Schizosaccharomyces pombe: one gene and its partner. Changing the gene in region 1 together with any one later gene gives a genetic interaction. Each region holds a gene or a part of one and is shown on either strand. Other genes may lie near its edges.

Region 1 (16,589 bases):
AAAACCTAAATTAATAACCTCTTAGTTGAAAATGATTATAAATATTACCATGAACTAAACGTAATAAACTTGTAAATTGCTTCAACACTCATTCGTTGACAAAAGTTCTAAATTCTCATGTCTGCCATTAGCGAATCATTTTAGCATCAAAAATTCAATTTATAGATTTTATGGTCAACGGTATCAAGGCGCTCACTTAACCAATTGTTATCATCTAGCAATGCAGCTTTGTCTCCCCCCACAGGTATTTGTTTAATAATTTTGTCGTAAGTAGCTTGCTTTTTACGGCAGTCCTTCAAGAGAAAATCATTCAACAAATCAATATATATCCTCGTCTCATTCAATCGAACATTTACCTTGTCTAAACGTACGACAAGGCGTGCTAACAATATTAAATGACCCTGAACAACTCGAGCTCTCACATCAAACATTGATTTTCCATTATCTGCTAACTCATCTTCGAAAAGAATTATCTCATTGAACCATAAATTTTGTCCTGCGTTAAGTATTTTTTGAACAGGTATTACCTGATCAATTTCAATGAATTTTGCATTTGGACGTTGTATAGTTCCCTGATAATCAGTATAATAAGTCCAATCAAATGGGTAAATCACAGGGTATTCTTCTCCGGGCTTAATTCTGGATTTGGCCCAGTCTTTTGCAAAAGAAACTTGCATTACATCTTCAGGTTTGGTACCAACCATTTTAAGAGCATCTTCAGTAAAAAATCCAACTACAGGCTGATTCTTGTATTCAATTGAGATGTAATTATTCCCAAAGGTCATCTCAGGAGGTGGAAAACCCAATGTACTTTGAAGGTTCTCCATCTCATGGCTTTTTAAAATTGACCCCCGTTGGACTTTGATAGTCCAATATTTAAATGAAAAATCATCTTGTTTTTGCATCTCCTTTAAATAATGTGATTTGAGTAGTTGCTTGACCCCTATATTATTGTAACAATTTAGAGTGCGTACGGCAAAATATAGGTAATGTAAATTTAGCCAACACAAAACACCTTTATATTACTTTACTCATTATAGAGTATATTCAAAAAACCAAAAGTTGATTAATTATTCAGATTAAAAATGAAAAATGATCTATAAGTATTAATTCAGTAGTTATATAATTTCAGTTCAACTCCCTCATTTAGTAAATCCGATAAGTAAAAATTATTCAAAAAATACATTAAGACGATTAGTATTCATAAATTCAGATATTAAGCCATAAAATTCACGTATTCTTGTAACCATAATTTCTCAGTACCCCTATCTAGAGCAAACGAGCGTGAATTCATCACCTGAAGCCATTTTTGGCAAACCTTTTTAGAGTCCGCAAACAACTGAACATGCCTTCTATCAACAGATGTAGCCAATATTCCAGCTACTAGACCGAGGTTTGAAACTGCCTCTGAAAAATTTACCATTGGGATTGAAACTACTGTCTTAGAAAGCTGAAAAGTATCCAAATATTGCCCACCTTTTTCAGCATAAAAATTCAGCTGCTTTGAGCGTAAAACGACAAAACGTCTTCGAATAGATGAATCTTCCAATCTATACAAGTATCCCTCATTATATAGATAGTTACTTCTAACGTGTCGCAAGTCCATCGTAGCTTGTTCTAAGGTAAATGGCAATTCCTGCTCTGGAACCGAAAGCTCAGGAATATACAAACAAGTCAAAGTTAGATTACCAAGTGTACGTTTCCCTATAGAGTTTATTTTTACAGGAATCGCTTCCAAGAAGCCTCTGGAAATGATGGGTATTTCTACGTTGAAAGCCTTTCCAAAACAACTGTCTTTGACATTACCCAAATTTAACGTAGCAGTACCCGAGACTTTCTTGATAACCACTGACTTCTTAGCCTTTGAATTCTCAACTGCAGCAGCCTTGTTGAGTTTTCTCTTTTTGCGTCGGTTGAAAAGCTTGTCAAAAAATTTCCTAGCTTTGGATTTCGTTTCAGCAGGCTTACCGTTTGAAACGTCTTTTGTAGCAGATACTCCTTTCGAACCGTTGGACTTGTCCTCAATAGGGATGTCAAGAAACATAAAACTCACTTTAAAGTTATCGTCAACATGAAAAGCAAAATCATGGTCCAACCTATTATTCCCATTAACAGCTTGCCAAGGAAGCTGCATATTTTGCGTAGGCGTATTAACTATTATCTTGATAGGTGAATGGACTTCACTTATCGAAATATTCAAAATGCTGTTCAAATGTATATAAAAGCGACCAAGTGGCAAGGGCGCCTTTGGTTTCTCTTCAAAAAATGTTTCATTCACAAATCCAAGAGAAGTAACAGGACGTGGTGATTGATTTTCAGTACCATTCGGGACTTCGTAAGACGTACTCTTATCCTGACTTGGAAGATCAAGGCGATTCAAATCAAAGGAATGTGCACGACTTAAAAGTTCGCTATCTCTGGCTACAGGCGTAGACTGCCTAAGTTCATCAATGCTGGCGGATATCTCGGCACTAGGGTCGTAAAAACCTACTGTACCAGTTTCCGAATAATTCCATCCTTCGACGTTATGGGACTCAGAACTGACTAAACTTTGGCTAGACTTGTTTGGCTCATTTTCACAATAATTACTATAAGTACGCTTCGTTCCTGGTACGGGTTGCATTGATGGGTGACGTAAATCTTCAGAGCTTAAAATAGCACTCAAATTGTCAATGGTAGAACTGCTTTTTATACGACCACGTTGACTAGATATACTATATCCCACGGAAGCAGAAGTTAGATTGTATCTGGGGACTTCATGATACGTTACAGATCCATGACCATAGGCGGCCTGAGATTTCGGAATTGAAGTGGCACTAATATCCTCATCCATATTTTCCTGTTGTAAAGAATCATTGATAATAGTAGAAATCTCAGGTTCTGAATTACGGGAAGATTGAAGGTATAACTCATCATAGTCTTTACCGTTGGTGGGAAGGGAAAGCTCAGAGAAATCATAAACTTTCCTAAGTGTACTAGCATAGGAAGATCCACTGGAAATCCGTTTTGCTTCCATCTTGGCCAAAACCTTTTTACGAAGACTTTCTGTAGAGATATCTGAGTCGTCTAAGGTGGCCTCTGGGACTGAAGAAAAAGGCTCTGAAGTATCTTCAACAGGGGCTTCCTGAATGGGAGCTAAAGGTTCTAAAGGTTTATAATCCATATCGAGAGACGCCGTCGTTTCGACCCTTTCCAACGCTGGATTGTCCTCTGTGGTATCTTTGGGAAGACTAGGAAGAATCCTTGGACCTACAGTAGAAGATGCAGATAGATGTGCTGGAGGTACGGGCTTGACATCAGATGGTATGCGAGCCAAGTTGGGAACGCTTCCAGCTCTTGCTCGGGCTGGGTTTGTAGACAGTTCATTATGGGATTGATATGGATGTTGAACAGTGTATTCCAACGGAGACATTGTCTTAGCTCGACTAAATTCTGCTACTTCTACCGCCCTCTTGCGAGACGATTTGGAGCGGTCAAAGGATAATTCAGCTAAATTTTGATCCGGATTAAATGTTTCATAATCTGCAACAATATCAGCACCTTTCAAAGACGCAGTAGAAGAACTTGTCGAGTTCATAGTTCCTGCCGAGTACGTCAAACTAGGAATGCGACCTTCTTCCTCGGAATTAATCCTCTTAAACACTGATGTACTACTCATTCTTTTACGATTATCAGGACTATGTTGAGAAGAAAAAGATGAATCGAGGTGCCCATAGCCATGCATATACATGCTTCTTAAATCAAGTGACTCTAAAAGATCTGTCGCAACGTTTAGTTCCGAAAGGTTTCCAAGGGACATATCGCCATCTCCATGTGTAAAGTTTTTTGTTTGATCATATCCCGAGGTTTCATTACTGTTACCCTCAAAAAAAAGGGGTGTTTTTTCTCGATTTGGAGAAGAAAGAAAACTGTTTTCTAAGCCTTTAGAGTCAAGAGACACATCTTTTGCTTCTCTATATGAGAACTCTTGCTCTTTCATCGTCAGGATAGCTTAATTAGACTTTACAGACTATAATACCTTATCGAGTGTTAAAATGTGGACACAGTATCATATAAGCACCCTGAAGTACAACAAAAGACGAGCCTTCTTCTTTATAGCAAATATTAATTCAAATTCTATTAAAATTGATGCTAAAAGCACGAAAACCTCTTATAATTTATTGAAATCCTTCTTCACCTCAGTCATGTGGAGTAGGCATAGGTCACACAAAATCGGTAGACGCTATGATAAGTGGTAGTCCCAGTGAGAACACTGATTATATGGTTAAACAATTCAAACTCTGGATATACCATAAATCGAAGATTAAAGCCAAGTTTCCTTTTTAAAATTAACAAAAAAAGGCTAGTTGCATTGCAAATATGAATTATAGCTGGGACATACTTGCAAAGATAATATTGTATTATCAGTATGCTTATGAATAGCGATGAATAAAGTCATTAGTATGTAAAATAAAATAAGTAAAATCATATTTTGTTGTCTGCTATTTTCGCAGAAACTAAAAAAAAATACATAAAATGAATCTGTTGATAAACAGCTTTTAATTTACAAATACACGAGCAGTTAAAACCTAAAACTAACTATCGGGGCGTAACATTTACTTAAAGCTAAAACCCATACTTTTGAGAAGATGCCTTTTTGTTTGATCGTTGCTGCTCAAAATAAGCTTCAAAGTTGTCTTTTTGACTGATAGCCATTTCAACAAGAGAAGACAGTTGATGACGACCAGGTGCAACACTTTTAATAGTAGGGGCGCTTGGCAATGCTTCTTGGGTCGGTTTTGGAAGTTTGTTGATATCAACGTCTATAATTCGTCCCTTCTCTTTTCGGTGGCGTCCAATTTCAATGTAATCTTCATTGATAATGTTTATGTCCTCTGCATTTGAATGTACTGAGTGATTAGCAATAGAAATGAAATCGTTCTCGGGTTGATTCCTCAATTTCGGAGGATTTGCTCTAGCTTTAGGTTTTATCAAAATTGGTTGGTAAGGTTTCTGATCGGAATCTACTAAAGAGGCTTGCTTTGACTCTGATCCTACGATATTAAATAACGAAACGTTACCAGACTTTTCTGAATACGTTGATTTCTTGACAGTTTCGGAGGATCCAGTAGAGGTTAAATCGCTTACAGAGTTATTAGGTAATAAATAGTTTTCATTTAAATCAAGGTCCGATCTTTTAGATGACTTTGGAGCTAATTCAGCTTGATTTTTTGGGGCAGGCAAAAGTTCAAGTAAATCATTAGATTTAAATCGTTCATTAGAGATAACATCAGATTCATTAAAAGTTTTATCATTAAAAGAAGATTTCTGTAAATCAACTTGCCGTTTCAGGCGTTTAGGTGACTTTTTAGTGCTGTCAACCGACAATTTTCTGCGCGCATGCTGAAACAAAGTAGGATCGAAACTTTTAGAAGCTAATGGTGTTTCTTCTTCAATATCGCTTTCGGATTCTGATCGAGGATATGAAACCAGAGACATATTTTATTAACTTTTGATATTAAGTCGTTTAATAATTCTGAGCGAGCGATTTGTACTCGGTAACTATTCTCACTGCGAACAGAATTATTTATGGCAATTAATATACTCGCATCTGCAAGATGATTTACATATTTATTCAAACTTAAATTAATTCTTTAAGTAAGTCTTAAAAAGAAATAATATTTAATTGAATGCTACCGCCCAACGTTGCTAGCTAGCATATGTGGTATTTTATATATTAATCACCCAAAAAGATTCCAAATTACCATTAATTTAATTTACTTTTATAAGCTTCATAAATATGAGAGTTTAAAGCACTGCAATTTTCGTAAACTTAATTTTTAGGATAGGCCAAAACATGGCCAAATCTTGAAGACTGGAAAAAGTACCGACTCGAATACTTTTATCAATCAACTGTTAGTAGTCGTAACCATGGTATCATAAACCGAACATATCTCTTCAAATATATCAATTTATGACAAACCACAATACATATTTAAATAATCATTAACTTGTCCGTATCAACTTTTAAGCCTCATCAAACTGACGATTAGCAAGTTCAACTAAATGGTCCCAATTGACATGCAATGAGCACCAAGTTTCTACTCCAGCAATAATTAGAATTGCAGCTCCAATTCCAATCCATAAACCGTACAGCCCCCAATCTAGCTTGAAGCAAAGGATTATGGCAACAGGCAAACCCAATAAATAATATGCGATGAAATTTACTACCCCACCAATCCTTTGTCTTCCTTGTCCCCGAAGAAGGCCTCCAGCTACACATTGTGTATTATCGGCAATATTAATGAGTGCAACAAGGGGAATGATAGTTGCAACCAATGCGACGACATCTTTATCAGACGTAAAAATGTAAGTCCATGTGTTGCGAGTTAAAAAAAGGATTACAGCAATGATAACACCAATTGCAGCACCTAAATTGATAGAAACGTGCGTAGCTAGCTTAGCGAGTTTCGTATTTCCAGCACCAATTAAATTTCCTACTCTTGTGGCAGCTGCAGCAGCGACACCGAAAGCCAAATTATAAGAAAGGGTCGAGGTAGTAGACAAAACAGACATAGAGGCTAATTCAGTGGTACCCAACACGCCCGATGCGAAAGTAACGAGTTCAAAAGCCCAGTACTCACTGCAAATCATAATTACACCAGGAACAGCCAATCGACATAACGGGCCCCAATTTTTTAATGCTTCTCTACTAAAACCTCCCCATGCTTGTCGTCCGTTTACCTTCATAATATAGATAATTAGAACAGCACAAGCACTCCATAGCGTTAATGCTACAGCGACCGGTGCACCTAGAAAACCGAAACCAACCCAGGGACTCCACACAAAAAGGTAATTAAGAAAAATATTAATAGGTACAACAATTGCTAAAATGTATGTTACAGGATGAAATATACCTTGCACCTGAAGGAAACGTTTTAGTGCTTCAAATAATGCGTATGCCGGACTAGCCAACATCATTACTCGCATATACTTTGCCGCAAACATACAAGTAAGAGGATCCTGTCTAAGGAATAAAAGTATGCCCTCTATTTTCCACCATATCAAGAAAATAGGGAATTGTATCAACAACAATATGGCCAGAATCCTCTGTAAATGTAAACCCACCATTTCGTAATTTCCAGATCCGAAACTTTGAGTTCCAACGGTATCCAAAGCAGATACAATCCCCTGATAAATAGCAAAAGCCGTAATTGTGGCAGTCATGTTAGACAGACTTGCAGCCGCAAGCTCTGTTTTACCCAAGTGGCCCAAAGAGAAAACAGTAGTAACCACCTCACCATACTGAAGTAAAGACGTTAATACAACAGGGGTTGCGAATTTAATAAGTAATGTTAATTCTTTCCACCATGCCTTGCTATTAAAGTCTTCTTGTACTGAAAGGCCACTCGCAATAGATTCGTTTTCTTCTGTTTCCTCTAAAGCGCCATATGATACATCAGTCGCAGGTCTTTGTACCCTAGGTGTAGGCTTTCTTAAGGAAGTAGTGGGTCTTTCTTGTGGAATAGGTGAAACTTCCGAAGCTGCGGTGTCAAGAAATTGGGGTCTTGACAAACCGTAAACAAGACTCGATCTTCTTCGTTTAGGCTTATAAGATCCTAATAAAGGATCATTTTCCCCTTCCATTATGGATATGTCTGATAAAGTTAAAGGAAAAGGGGGTCAAGTTTAAAAAACTTGTGGATGCTAGTAAAGTTTGTGAGGCCAACCGGGCACAGCTTATATAGTGACATATTACACAACCAAAATTTCCCTCAGTTATAAAAACGTAGTATATTAAAACAAGTCAATACATTGAACGTTAATTTATTGAATTTAAAAGCATTCAAATATTTAGTTAATAGAGGTGGTGAATCCCATGAAAAAATCAACAATAGATTGAATTAGCGAACGGAATGATTCAAATGTACATTGTTCACCTTCGGATATACCCTGAATAGTGCAAGATTTTAGTTTTTTTTTTTTAAATAAATGCTTTAAAGTCCAACTAACAATGACCTAAATTAACCAAAATTTCCAATCTTAATATAAATAGTCTAGTCAACTAACTTTGATAATCAACAGCTTTTTTGTGTCGCAGAGACATACTATGCGAGCTGGTAACTAAGTTCCTTTTTGTATTAATTTCCTTTTCTTTCTCTAGTTTCAATTCACGATTAACTTTATGTCTACAAGGCCAAGGTAATGAAAAGAGTTTAGAATGTCTAATACATTTCGGACAAAATGCACTCGAATTTTGAATGTCTTCATTAATAAATGTCTGGCTACAGTTTGAGCATTGGTAAACCTTTCTTTTTCCATGTCTTTTTTTCCATAGATCTTCACGAAATTTTCGATAATCATCCACATTCAGTAACGGACTATGGTTCGTTATGGCCATCTCAGACAAAAGCCTTTTTTCTCGAGACCACACCCTTTTTTTGTGCCTTGGTATAAATAGTGAAAACTCCTCATCCAAATCAGAACTGGACGCATCACTCAGTTCACCACCTGAATCCCAAATATTCAAGAAGCTACGATCTTCCTCGGAAATCACGTAACGATTTGACTGCGGCAAAGAAGACAGATCGGAAACATCAGAACTACTCTTGGAAGAACAACTTGTTGAAGTAGCACTAGTATGGAAAAGCTTTTTAAAACCATTGATGCCCATTCGTTCACATGAGACACAAAGGCATTCACAATTTTCAAGGCCAAAGTAATTAGAAGAATAAAAGGTAGTAATTTCTTCACCTGGTTTTATGTCTCTTACACAGCGCAGCCAAATGCGCTTACCAGAAGTGTTAAATCGACAGTTAGCATTGCAGTCATGATTAACGAATCGTGCAGGGCCCAAAAATAGACACATCGAATCTAAGCGGCTTGAATGAAGGATGCTAAAGTCTTTTCCAATTCCTATATTCCGCTCTTCTTTAGGAGATAACTTAATAATTGTTCCACAGAGGTCTGTAATATCTTCTCCAGCATTAATTGATTCACGCGCTATTACGCAAGCTTCAGGCTTTGAGGAAGAAAAGTATTGGTTTGTTGAACAAATTTCAAATTTGCATGATGGTAGATATAATGAGAGGTAGTACTTCAGATGTCGAGTAAATGCTAGTAAAGAAGTGCTTGACAATCTCCGCAACAATGGATCAAGTTCACGAAATTGCAGAATATTTTTTGCCGCTTGGTCAAGGTCTGTTTGCTCTATAATATATTTGGTTATAATATTTATAATAGAACAGCTTTCCATTCGCTCAATTGATCGATCCACTAATTTTCGTACTTTATGAATTTGGGACCAATAAAACACCTTGTCAACTAGCAAACAAGTACAAACATCGTCAAAAAGAGAAAACGTTTCAAGATGAGTATTCGTCTGGCGCATTATGCATTTTCATAGGCGTTAGGCAGGTATCAAAATGTCATGAAACATTCAATGTTAAAAGTACCTTTCCAGTTGAACAACGATGAGTAATCTTGATGTATAAATTATAGGTTTATATGAGTTTGCTCAGAAAATAAAGGTTAGGAACTCGATAGTTTATCCAAATATGTAATATATTTCTGCGTTGGCAAATACAAAAATGTTTTTGAACACAACAATTCAACACAATCACTTATTAGGAAATCGACTAATTAGCGAAATTTAATTATTCTCGTTTTAAATAAAAGAATCCACGAAAGTCTGAACGTTGTAATTAAATATACACCAAGCTCGGACGGTCCCCTTAAAAGTTTTCACAGTTTTCTAGTTATTATATCTTTGTAAGTTATACTAATAAAGAGCGACTTTGCTTCGAATGAAATCCACCTAGACAAATGGGTCGTAGAAATAGCAGTAGGTTGGACCGGGACTGATGAAGTTAACTAAACTATACTAGCAACCCAATAGGCGAATGCAGATACAAAAAACTTCCTAAATCCCGTTTTATCATTATTGAGATACCAGTTTAATTTACTTCCTTCTAATATTCAAGTTTAAATATGAAGTTAGCCATCGGTAGGCTTTTAAGCCCATTATTTTTGAAAAATCCTCAGAAACCCTTGATCATTACTAAACGATTTTATTCGACACCCGGAGAACGAAGGATAAAGGACATACTCACTGAGAAGCTTTCACCTAGTTCTTTGAGAGTTATCGACGTTTCTGGAGGATGTGGCAGCATGTATCAAGTTGCAATTAAAAGCAAAGCCTTCCAAGGGAAGAACACTTTGGCGCAGCACCGTCTAGTCAATTCTATCCTCAAAGAAGAAATCAGAAATATGCACGGACTGAATTTGTCTACCGAAGTCGAAGACGATATATCTGCCGGCGGATCGACTACAAGTTCATGAGATTTGTTTACAAAGACCTCTCTGCCGCTACGATTTTACTGTTTAAGAACATAGTTGTCTGACATTTATTTTCAAATTAGATATGAAGCTCACGGCTTTTATTTATTTCAACGTTTTCCTAAAAACCTTGGCTTCTCGTTCATACAATGTAACATAAAACTTTCCTTTTTTGTTCTCAGTTAATACATCTGTTATTTTCGAATATTATTATATTATGCCTTCGATATGATTTTTGCGCTATAGACTTCTAAGTGTGTTTTCTAGAATTTAATATTCAAAAGGTAACGGCCGGGGAAAACATTGATGTGTATTTGGAGAAAAAAAACTTTTTCCGCAAGTCGTTGAGTCCGTAATTACCATTCCTGCTAATGTTGCTATCTTTACTACACTTAATGTGAGTCAACATTCTCTTCCGAAATTAAATTTCCAAAAGATAGACTCCTTTCGACTAATGTATAAAACATATTGATTTTAATGTTGATCCGTCGATGGAAAATTTCTCAACAGTCACTGATCTCTGAAACGTTCTCATTCTCACTCATAATACAACGCTATTTTTCAAACAAGTTACAGATATCGGCTTCTTTTTAGATGATTTATTCAACAAACCAATGCAACACCATATGGCTAATTCTTTTCTGAACCTTTCGGTTTGCGAAGTCATCAATCTCGACCAGCCTCGGATTTTTTGGTCAGCGATTTTAGCATGATAACTTTAAAATTGTTAAAATGACTTTCTTAGAAAATTATGATATAGGCGCATCGCTTTTTATCGCCTAACGGATCGGAATTATTTCTCGCACCGGCGATTTGAACTAGCTGAAGAATTTGCCAAACATAAGCGGAAAAACTCGATTTGGTACCAAACTTCACATTTTCAAATCGCCCGGTTAGTTAGTTTGGCCATCTTGCGAGTATATAAAGTTATCAAATCATGTCGCAATTTCAAGACTTGTATCACCAGAACGCACTACCACCTGGCAGACACATATTTTGTGCAGCTATTTCAAACTACTAGTAACTTTTACTATACATACTCTGCAACACAAATCAATTAATTAGCTAATGAATTCGCATTTCCAACTTCAACTCTTACTACTATAGTCGCAATTGTTCTTTTCTTGAGTTTCGTAAATACGGATTACGAGATTCATAAATAGGATCAGTAAGTGAAAGCTGACCTAACATCAGTCATTTGTTATTTTCACCATTAATCAACGCCTCGAAAGGGGTTATTTTTTTCGAATTGGAGTTGGAATTCTCTGTGGATGCTCAAAGCACCTGCTCTTTAACTTATTTTTACATTTAATACCATAATACGAGAACCTCTGATTTCCTTTGGGAATATCCCCAAGATTTACCTTCCCTGTCAAACCGCCAAATCCTTGCTGAGCATCAAAAATTCCCGCCTTATTAGACTAGAAAATTATCCTAGAGCTTCTTGTTTCAATTCACATTTACTTACTTACTCATCAGCCAGTTGGTTATATTTTCCTTCTCTTACAACTATTTCGTTCAGAATTTTGGTCTATTCTCATTTTCTACCCTTCTTCTTTTCTTTTTTGCATCCTATTTATTCTATTAATTTGAAATGCCTCTAAAAAGTATGTCTTCTTACTTCCTTTGAATTTGTATAGTGTGCTAATTTAATTTACAAAAGATTATACAAAGACTACGTCTAAAAAAGAACCTAAACAATTAGATATTGCTGCTTCTGATCAACAAATTGAGCAGTGGAGTGATCAGATCCACAAATTAGATAAAGCGATTCGTTCTACAATCGATAACTCTCGACTCTTCTATGATGCTTGGAGATGCATGGTTTGTATAGCTCCCTCCGTCACTGCCTCTTGGATTTCTTTGTACAGACAGTTACCTCCTGAAAAACAACCTGCTGCTTCTGTCGGAACATTGGTCGATTGGAACAAGGCCTTGGAACGTCAACGTCGTGAAGTCTTGCTTGCCCTGCAAAATTTCCATGTCATAGTTATTGCTCCTTGCAAGGAGGTCAAAGGCTATGTAAAGAAGGCAGTTGAAATGATTAAAAGAAGAGATAAAAAAGTAAAAGAACTTGAAAAAATTCAAAAAGAATTATTGGTTGTTTACGAATTGCCTGATCCTGAAACCAAAAAAAGTAAAATTAAAGCATTACAAAGCCAGCTTGTCCGTGTCAATGGTGAATTGGATGACCTTCAGAAGCATTTAACTTTGTCCTTCCCAACTCTTATTGCAAAAAGTCGTGTTTTTTTTGGACAACTTATGAAGCATTTTTACTGCTTGCAACTTCAAATGTTTCGAAAAATGCACAACATTGTTCGCCCTTGGGATTGTTTTCAAGACGATATTCCCCAAACGTGGCTCGTTGAGTTTTCCTCAGTTTGCCAGGCTGCTGAAAGCATTTCCTTAATTGCCGTAAACAACAACCGTCCTCCCGTAGAACTTCCAAAATCTGGTGATGTTTTATCAAATAGAGAGTGGGAAGCTGGAAAAATTGATGCCATGAATTCTCTCATCGCTCAGAATTTGCATACTTCAGCGTCTCAGGTAAGCCTTTCGCCTATGGCTAGTACCGCTAGCTCTTCTGTTACAAATTCTCCCGTTGACACACATACTCCTTCAACTCCAATTATGTCGCGTCCTCCATCCATGAAAGCCCTTTCTTCTGGTGTAGAGTCCCAAGATGAATCGGTTGCTAGTAGTAATTTTCAAGTTCCAATTATATCGAATCCGCTTTTTAAATCCCCTGCACCTTATTCACCAACATCCGTTATCTCCAATCATTCCTCCACCGGTAAATCCCTGGTGATTTCTGAATGGGCATACCTTGCCTCAGGAAGTGCGAATGTGGTGTTTGAGTATGTTGGTAAAAATCCTTACTTTCAAGACAAGGTAATTCGTCTTCGACGTCGAGGACAGGTTTTTACTACAGAACAAGTTTATGAATACTATCAAAATGTAATTTATCCTTTGTTTGCTGGAATGGAAAGCTTTTTAATTGAGGTTTTTTTGCAGCCAGTTACTAGGGATTTTTTGCTGGCGGCCCAAAATGCTTCTGGTATTTATTTAAATTTAAATGAGCAATACTGTTTGGTAATGAAAGATCTCAAAGATGGAATTGAAATGAAACCAAAATGGTTGACTCAGTCCCCTGCCGCTCCACCTGACTGGGTTGTTTGTCGAACGTGTGCCCTTAGCCGTATGCGTGGTAGACCCGTTGGTTTTTGTCCTCTACAGCTTGATTTCAACAATTGGCCCAAGTTTTTGTGCTGTCTTCAAGGATTTGTGAGTCCTGATATCGCAATGAGATTGTTTCAGTCTGGTATACTACGGAAGCTTCGTGACCTACAAGAGCAATACTCTCGTACTGATGTTGCGTTAGCGATGACCCTTCGAGATGTGACTTTATACATTGGTAAAGATCACATAACATTACTAGATTTAGATCCTAAAGACATGAATACCAAAATGTCTAAATGGGAACGTGATGAAAGGAATTTGATTGAAGGCGGTTGGTACTATGGTCGTGGGATGAAGTCTACTGACAAAGCATGCCGGAGCAGCATAAAGTAATTATCTCATTGTTAATTTTTTTTCTAATATGTAATACCACCATCAATTTGTGGATTTATTGCAATATTTCAATACATTATGCATTTTTGTTTTATTTGTTATATGCCTGATAATTAACAGGGAGATAAAAGCATAAAAATAAAGGGTTAGATTTATTTGTTCTCTTCAACTAACTGTTGAACACTTAATAATTCTAGAGCATTTTTTACTACGAGGTTAGTTTATTTTCTAATTATTACTAATGAAAAATTAATAAGATCCATTGAACATATTTTAGATATTTGATGAATGATCACCTAAAAGTTGTAGTTACTATACTTAACTTGCCAACCCCCATCTCACTTGCACCTTACTTCACCTCAAGTATAATTTTAAAATACAGCATGTTTCGCATCGCATCACGCCAAACAAGAAATCTGTAAGATTGTAATTATTTTTAATTAACAAATTTATACTAACTTTAAAAGACGTGCTTTATCTTCCAGTAAGAACTGGGCAAGATCGTTGGTAAACACGCGATCATTTCGAGCTGCCGCATCTGTACAAAACAATAATGCCCAAATTGGGGAAATGGTTGACAAAATAAGCTCTCTATCATTGTTAGAGACGTCTGAACTTGTAAAGCAATTAAAGGAGAAGTTAAACATTGCTGAAATAGCTCCGATGGCAGCAGTGGCTCCAGCAGTAGCTTCAGCCGCTCCTTCTGAAGAGAAAGCTCCTGAGGAAAAGAAAGAGGAAAAAACCACCTGGAATTTGAAACTCGAATCGTTTGATGCTGGTTCGAAAGCCAAGGTGATCAAAGAGGTGAAGTCTCTTTTGGGATTATCTCTTGTGGACGCAAAGAAATTCGTTGAAAGTGCTCCAAAGGTTTTGAAAGAAAATATTTTGAAAGAGGATGCTGAAGCTATAAAATCGAAGTTAGAGAAACTTTCTTGTAAAGTAGTCCTCGAATAAACTGGGTTGTTTATAAAAAATTTCATTTCTATGCTTTTCCGCCATTCAAATTCTTTGGGCAACCTTTTTGTTATTGCTTTGACATTGTGACACGATTTACTTTCTTGGATTCCCATAAAAACTAAGCTACGGAGGGAAAATTCATCATCTCTAAAAAAACCAGATATTAGGTAATGTATAAAATACTCCAAAATTATTAGTTAATTATATGTTTTTATTCTATTTGGGTTACACTCTATGTTTTCGCTCTTCGGTTCAGGAAGTTGCATGAAGACATTCATTAAACTTTTCGTATTCATCCTTTAGGGATTCCAAATCGCTTTCAGTAATTCCTTGGGTAGTGTTCCATGCAATTTCCGCTTCTAACTCTGGTTCTGAAATAGCCCAAATGTTTTCACGCATTCTTTTGTGTCGCTCTCTGTCTTCTTCAATCCTCTTAAGAATGTCGTTTTTTGAAATGGCTCCTGAAGTACTGGTATCACCTGACTTGCTCGCTTGTTCATGGGCTTCTACCGTAGCCATAGCATCTTTATATTGATTATCATCGATTACCTTCTTTTCATGCAAAGACTGGAGTACTTTTCTAACCTCTGGAGCGTTAGCAGCTCCAGCAGCTCCTATAGGAGCTACGTTCTGGACTAGCTTACAGATATCTCTACTAATCATATTAAGATATCCACCTGTAAGGCCATTTTTTAAGCACATCTCACAGAGTGTGTCCACAAAGTACATGATATTCACTCTTGTATTGAACGAACCTGACTCTAGTTCCTCCCATATACATGAATATAAGTCTTCTTCCAAGTCTAGATGCTTAATTGCAAATTGCGCGGGTTTAATTTGAGAGAATTGCGATGCATTCAATTTTCCCAAAAGCTGTAGAAATGTCATGCGGCCCTCAAATGGATCCATTTTATTATTGCAAGTATATTGGTAATTGCGAGTGCAACAACGATTTTTGTTATGATGGTTTTTCTTATACTTCGTGAACTTTGAATTCCAAAAACATCAAGAATAATTTTTTAAATAATAATAATGTGTGTTGTCTTAAATTTCAAATATAGAATAAACTTCCTTTGCCAAGTGTTCATCTATTCTTGAAGCTGCAATCTCTGAAATTTGAGACTAAAAAAAGCGTTGGGATACTATTTTGCGAAAGGACGTTGAACCTTTCCAGATTCAAATAAATTAAAATATACTCAGTGCATAAGTAATATTAAGAGGTCTTCAAACTGTTAGCATGTTGCAAAATCTGTTGCTTTAAGTAGCATGTTACTTTATTTCAAACACTATTACTGTACCTTTAAAGAAACTAAAATCTCATTTTATTAAATACTACTTTTTTAGTAATTTCAACAGCGAAATAGTAAATTTTCAAAGATATTTTTATATAGCCCTGATAAAGTTATAACCATTCACCAAACTGTTAGGATCTCTGAGTATAAATAGCGGGAAAGAATAACTACTATACTTTAATAAAAGCACAAAAACCGACCTTACTTATATGGTAAAATGAAACCCATGAATCAGTAAACAATTTTTATTTTTTTATACGCTCTACTAAGTCGTACATACAAAATCAACATTTCCTTTCAATAAAGAACTGCTTTGAAATCTAAAATGGCCAGCGACAAACTTATAAGGTTTGCCTAAAAAGTAAATATAATGGAGAAAAATACTCTCGAAAAGAGAAAAAAAATGCAGGATGTATTGTTCAAGGAGAAAAATATAACAACGGGATAATG
Region 2 (6,232 bases), on another chromosome or scaffold:
TTAGTCAAAGTTTAAAAGTAAAGCAGGAAAGGTGATCACCAGATGCATTTAAGTTAGTGAAAAAGATACTATAAAGGTAGAAATTGTTAATACATGAAGCAAAAAAAATTAAGGGTTTGAATAATCCATTTAAGCGAGATTGTTTTCACCTTAATAAAACCATTAAGGGATAAAAATAAATAAAGTTACAAAAAGGCTTTTTAAATCTTCATTAAAATACTAAAGCGAAATAACTAGGTATCATCCTGCTATATCTCTTTTTGTTTAGGTATATTTGCAAAGTATCAATAAGAAAAAAAAAAAAAAGATTGGAAAGCAAATGATTAGACGGTAAATTCAATACGATCACAGACGTATCCTTGATGGTTGGCCTTGTTTAATTGAATGAGTTCAAGAAAACAGGCCTTTCCCCAACTGGCTTGACCGATTGAAGAAATCGTCTCAATGGGGTCGGAAGTAGAGTAGTCAGAGCAAATACTCTTTGCATAAATGACAGGCATATAGGGATGTTCGATGACATTAAAAGGATCAGAAGTATCGGCCAAGTCATAAGCAGCATTTTGCAATTCTTCCAAGCCGGGAGTTTTCTCTACCTGAATATATACACGTTTGTAGAAGGAATCCCCAATAGCGACTTTGCCGAACTTTATGTTCAAAGGAGACTTGCGCTTGGAAGCGATATATTGCAAAACACTCTTAAACGATTGATTTGGTTTCAGCTTGATACCACGAGCTAAAGTAATGTGAGGAGCGGTAGGTAACTGCATTTCTTCAAAGTCGACTTTGTGACACACAGCCCAGTCGACAAACGTTCGATATCTCAACTCAATATCAGAGGAAATGGCAGGTACGAGCCAAACACAATAACAATGGTCTTCGGAAGAAACTTCAGCAAAACCATGACTTGTAGTCCTATCGGTCAAAGGCTGGGTCCTGAAAAATTGGGGCATGATGAAGGAGAAAGCTAGATTTCCTAATTACAAGGGGCTGGAAAAAATAAAGAGTAAAAAAAATTTAAAAGGTTGTCAGCAGTGAAAATTGTATGCAACGCTATAATGGTGTTGAAAAGAGGAAAAATAAATATAAAATACGTATAAATCCTTCGCCAATTTATTTCAACAAATATGTAGTCAATATTTTGCGTATTTTTTTTAATACCACACTATTCTTCTTTATTAGTAAATGAAACTCCAAAAAAAATTTTCACATACAGTTAAATTTCTGTTTCAAGAGTAAAACCGATATTTCCTTGTTCGCTTCGAAACCTGTCAATGCGCTTTTTTCGATTGCAAGGACAGAACACTAAAAAATATAAAATACACTCAAGCAAAGAATGTATTTAACACTTGATTTATTTTCCAAATTGCTTGTATAAGAAATAGAACTTGATTAATATTGTTGAACAGTGAGTTGGTTCGTTGGTCTGCTTATAACAGCTGGTGCTTTCACCACACTATGATGTCATCGTAGCGATGCGATAAATAGAAACAGCACACAGGTCACTTTCTCGTCCGAGGTTTAGCGCTCATTTGGCCGTGTGCGGAAGCATGTGCGGGTCTCTAAATTCACGCTTTATAAATGGTAAGATGGCGCAAAAAACTGTGTATTCCATTTAACAGCATATTTGGGTAAACCTATAAGTGCCTGATATACATATTGCGCATTTTATGAATAAATTTTATACAGTGAAGTGCAATGCATTGCAGAATCATTTGTTAGATATGCGGTATGCTTGATCTGATATGACGAGTGGATTTGCTGTGTTTTGTAGTCAATAAACAAACAACTAAACCTTTTCAAAAAATAAAATAAAATTGCAAGACTAAAAAGAAGCACTATAATGAGGCCCCTTTATTTTTATGTTTCGGAATTACCTCCTTTTACTTCCTCTTAAAACCGCAAATAAGTATATGCGTTTTTCTACTCATAAAGATTTTTACCTTTTATATCTTTTAATCGTGTAGAAATTTGTTATTTATTTTTATTAACCTTTTGTACTTCATTTCATATCATTTTATTTATTTCTTTATTTGTTTTTTTAATTGAGATGTAATAATTATAAATTTCGGGAATTGGTCAAACTATTTTTTTTCATACATTATCTGGAAAATAGAAAAAAAAGCGTATTGAAATCGATTCATTTATGTTGAGTATCTTGAATTTATTGGTTCAAGATTTTAACAATCAACTAACAGATCGCATATTTCATTAAATAACCGTGTAGGTTTTTTATCCTTCGCCCTTAAATACGCTCGTTTATTTAATATCATTATTAAAATTCTATTTTTGTATAATTTCTAATGGTCCTCCTTCATAGAAGAAACTCAAGAATATATGTTTGCAAATATACTTCTATAAATAAATAATAGACAAAGTAAACGATGTCCTCTTTACCTTTAATTTTATGTTCTTTGCTCCTTTGCACTTGGTTTGTTCCAAGATGAACGAGAGGATCGTTTTCTTCCTTGCCCGGTTCGGGATGCCTTTGAGACATTTCTTTTTCCAATTACTTTGGTGGGACTGTCAGCATCATAGTCAATCAAAAATTCATCAAAATCAATTCGATCACGCAAGATGGATAAAGCTACTAGTTCAATCTTGTACACATTTAAACCAGTAGCACTCATATTCCGTCCTTCTTGATCGTTGTCAGGTTGAGCAAGTATAATTGTGTCCTTCTCTTGAGCCCTTTTAATATCACCAACAATCTATTTAAATCATTAGCCTATCATAACTAGATATTCTCCATCTTTCACTTACCTCAGCTCCAGATGTTTCCAAAATTGAGTAAAGTCCGTGTATAGAATCCCCTACCATCGAATCTCGAATTGCCTTTGTAATGTATAGTCTTTTCCCATTGAAACACGTTCTTCTGTGGATATCGTCCAAACGAAATCCCCACTTGGCTTCTGCTTCCTCGTCTTTATATTTGTAGCTACGAAAATCTAAAACTTTACCTGATTTTATACAGTCTGTCAAGTATTGAGAAGAGACAAGTGGTATACCTAGAGAAGTCGCCAGTAAAAACTTATGTGTCCTCCGAAGTGGAGGTGAACCAAGGATGACAAAGTCGGTTTCGTCTGTGACACTTTCTTGCACCCTTAGACCATTTCTCCTTATAAAACTTTTCATCGGTTTAGTTAGGTTGAAACTCGACGTTACCAGATTTGTGTGCTTGTTTTTATTTTCAACTGCCGAGGACTGCACATTCTTGTCAGGTTGATCCTCTAAAGATGATGAGGGGAAAGAATAATTAGTGGAAATTGGTGCCTCTTCTGCTTCTCTGTTACTTTCATCCTGGGATGTGGATTCCTTCTCTTTGAGAGCGATTTCCGGCGCACTTCTTTTACTTTCTTCATTTTCGTTGGAGGGGGTTAAATCTGGCCTAACCTCTGGATTTACTTCATCACTGTGAATGCTATTGTTCTTTATAGAGCTGTCCGATATGTTTTGCTGTGGATTCACATCCTTCTCAATTGGTGAGTTTATTTCAGCACTTTGCTTTCTATCAAATACCTCTGCTGGCTTCAAGGATGGGTCTCCACTCAATGATTGCGAGACAGAAGAAGGAGATTTTGTTTCTCCTTGTATATAAATTTGGTGTGATTCAATAAATGTTGACTCATCGTCGGTCTTATTCAACTGTTTTTGATCTTCAGAAACAACCTCCTCTTCAGTGTCAGAACTATGGTCGCCTTCCACATGTTGACCGTCCAATACCAATTTTTCGTCCAAATCATTCTCAGAGTTTTCAACTTTAAGAACAGGCTCAGCGGCAGATTGCGATTCTGGAATTCTCTCAGAAAAGAGTTCCTTTTCCAATTCTAAAGCACTTTTTTCTGAAGCGAATCGCGAAAGGGGAATGACCTGGTCAGATCCTTGCCTAATTAAAGAATTGTAATTTTGTTCCAAGTTACTTGAATAATCAATTTGATCTTCATTCGCATTGATCGCTTCAAATTTTTGTTGCTGCAAATTTGGCTTCTGCGGGGTATTAGGGACCTTGGAAAATAGGTTAGTGTCTTTTTGACAATAGTATAATGAGGGAATGCACATACAGTCATAACTCCCATTTTGGATCCTTCATTCACGTTTGCATTATCCTCCTCTAATTTTGAAAAAATTACAGGAGTATCGTTGATTCTTACTCTCTAAAAAAGTATATAATTAGCTTACTCAATTAATCAATAGAAAAAAGATAATACCGTTTCGTCAAAAACATAATAAAGAAGCTTTTTGTCGCTAGCAGATGGAAGCACCGTTGTATCGGCTATTTTAACTATAGCTCGAATATTTCGAATAAAAAGTTGATGTTCTATATTTAAGAATTCAACAAGAACATCATCTGTTTCCATTTCCTTCAGATGGGAACCATCAGTAGCTAGAAAACCCCCAGAATTTACCATCCTACACCTCTGATTTCCAAACTGTATCTCCATTTTACAAATCCTGCTATTGATCGTATAAAAATTTCAAGGAGGAATTAACAATTAATGTTTTGGTTACTGCGTGAAAAAGCTTAGCAACAACTCTGTGATTAATTCATCGAATGGTTAAGAAATGCGTGGTATAGTTACAAGGATAGTGTTGTCAACGCAAAAGTGTCTACCTTCTGTAAATTGTACTAGGAGATACTATTCAAAACAAAAGGATATTTCTATTGTTCGGCAACGATTGGGACGACCTGGAAATCATTTGAAAATTGGCATTGTAGGAATGCCCAACATTGGGAAATCCACCTTATTGTACGTTTGTTCAAGGGTTTAACTGATAAATTTGCTTCATTGATCGGTATTAACAATAAATATAGTCAAATTCTTACAAAGACAAACCTGGGAAATCCTGCTAACTGTACGTTGTCATATTTTAGTCAAGTATTAGTTTTGATTATAAGTGATATAATATTTTGTATTTCTGTTGTCTAACAAAACAAATTTATAAGACCCTTTCGCTACAATCGATCCCGTTCATGCAAAAGCCCCTGTACTTGATTCACAGTATGAATTGCTTTGTGAAATTTATCAGCCTAAAACGCGTATCCCAGCGCAATTAACTATTTATGATACTGCAGGGTTGACAAGGAATTCAAGCAAGGGAGAAGGTCTTGGAAATGCGTTTCTTTCAAACATTAGATCCGTCGATGCTTTGTTTCAATTGGTACGTGCATTTCCAGAGGCTCAAGTTCCTCATGTTGAAAAGTCAGTTGATCCAGTAAGAGATCTACAAATAATACAGGAAGAGCTATTGTTAAAAGACGCAGAGTTTTTAGAATCATATTTAAAAAAGGAGGGCCGCTCGCCCAAAACATGTGCAAAAGCTCTTGATACGGCACGAAGAGCATTAGAAGTAGTATTAGGAAAAGGCCGTCAAATATCTAAAGCTGAATGGAATGACGAGCAGATTCCCATTTTAAATTCTTTAAACTTACTCACTGCCAAACCGGTGGTGTATCTGGTAAATATGGATCAAGACGATTATCTTTCCGATGAACAAGAAGCATTAAAAGGAATCAAAGAATGGGTTGAGAAAAATAGTTTTGGTGATCAAGTGATACCTCTCTCAGTTCTGTTTGAAGAACAGCTATTCATGCTTACGCCTGAAGAGGCGGCGCAGGAATGCGCTAGTTTGGGCAAAAATTCTCAATTATCAGAAATTATTTGTGCGGGATATTCTGCACTTAATTTGATACATTATTTCACAGCTAGTGAAAAAATCGTTCAAGCTTGGACTATTGCCGACGGCTCTAAGGCGCCTGACGCGGCCGGTATAATACATTCAGATTTCAAGAAGAAGTTCGTTGCAGGAGAAGTTATAAAGTTTTCTGATTTCGAAAAGTACAAATCAGTAGATGCTTGTAAAAGCGTAGGAAAGTGCAAAACGAAAGGGAAAGATTATACTGTCGAACCCGGGGATATTATTTTCTGGAAAATTGCTCGTTAGTGATAATCTAAATTAAATTAAATTAATTATAGTAAGATTTCATTAATACCGTTTTCATAATGTTTCTTTTCAAGTGTTTATTAGTTATTTGTTTACAAAACTTTATACTTGTAGGATAGCTTTAATTACATTAAATTATTTAGTGCATCGGTGTATTTTGTTAAATTGGCCTCTAAACAGTAATGCCTACGTACTGTGTGTATGTAAACACATAATTCAACCTATTGCCATATTTCTTACATATTACCCTTTTTTTGGGTGTAATAGCAGTAGTCAGAATTCTGGGTTGTTT

The links.
Region 2: mutations in set9 (region 1) and mdb1 impair growth when combined (synthetic growth defect), as found in Schizosaccharomyces pombe (one study listed by BioGRID).

The regions. Positions count from the first base shown.
Region 1 is NC_003421.2:1,146,237-1,162,825, forward strand, and holds set9 (histone lysine H4-K20 methyltransferase Set9), read right to left. Parts: upstream 9,826-16,589; 5' UTR 9,371-9,825; coding exon 8,045-9,370; 3' UTR 7,678-8,044; downstream 1-7,677. Other genes in the region: TIP41 type 2a phosphatase regulator Tip41, read right to left, coding at 147-905; anillin-related medial ring protein Mid1, read right to left, coding at 1,217-3,979; protein Cwf20, read right to left, coding at 4,606-5,478; SPOM_SPCC4B3.13 (MatE family transporter), read right to left, coding at 6,007-7,626; protein fra3, read left to right, coding at 9,970-10,320; ipk1 (inositol 1,3,4,5,6-pentakisphosphate (IP5) kinase), read left to right, coding at 11,912-11,924, 11,981-13,890; mrpl12 (mitochondrial 54S ribosomal protein bL12m), read left to right, coding at 14,274-14,308, 14,358-14,844; Lsk1 complex gamma subunit lsg1, read right to left, coding at 15,100-15,756. UniProt on the Schizosaccharomyces pombe protein: Histone methyltransferase that specifically trimethylates 'Lys-20' of histone H4 to form H4K20me3.
Region 2 is NC_003424.3:2,880,782-2,887,013, forward strand, and holds mdb1 (BRCT domain protein Mdb1), read right to left. Parts: upstream 4,561-6,232; 5' UTR 4,440-4,560; coding exon 4,206-4,439; exon of another isoform or gene 4,152-4,205; coding exon 4,059-4,151; exon of another isoform or gene 4,003-4,058; coding exon 2,761-4,002; intron 2,709-2,760; coding exon 2,403-2,708; 3' UTR 2,012-2,402; downstream 1-2,011. Other genes in the region: SPOM_SPACUNK4.15 (2',3'-cyclic-nucleotide 3'-phosphodiesterase), read right to left, coding at 324-950; SPOM_SPACUNK4.13C (NTPase Ylf2), read left to right, coding at 4,561-4,745, 4,811-4,851, 4,943-5,940. UniProt on the Schizosaccharomyces pombe protein: Involved in DNA damage response (DDR) mediated through its interaction with phosphorylated H2A proteins hta1 and hta2 which mark the discrete foci of DNA damage.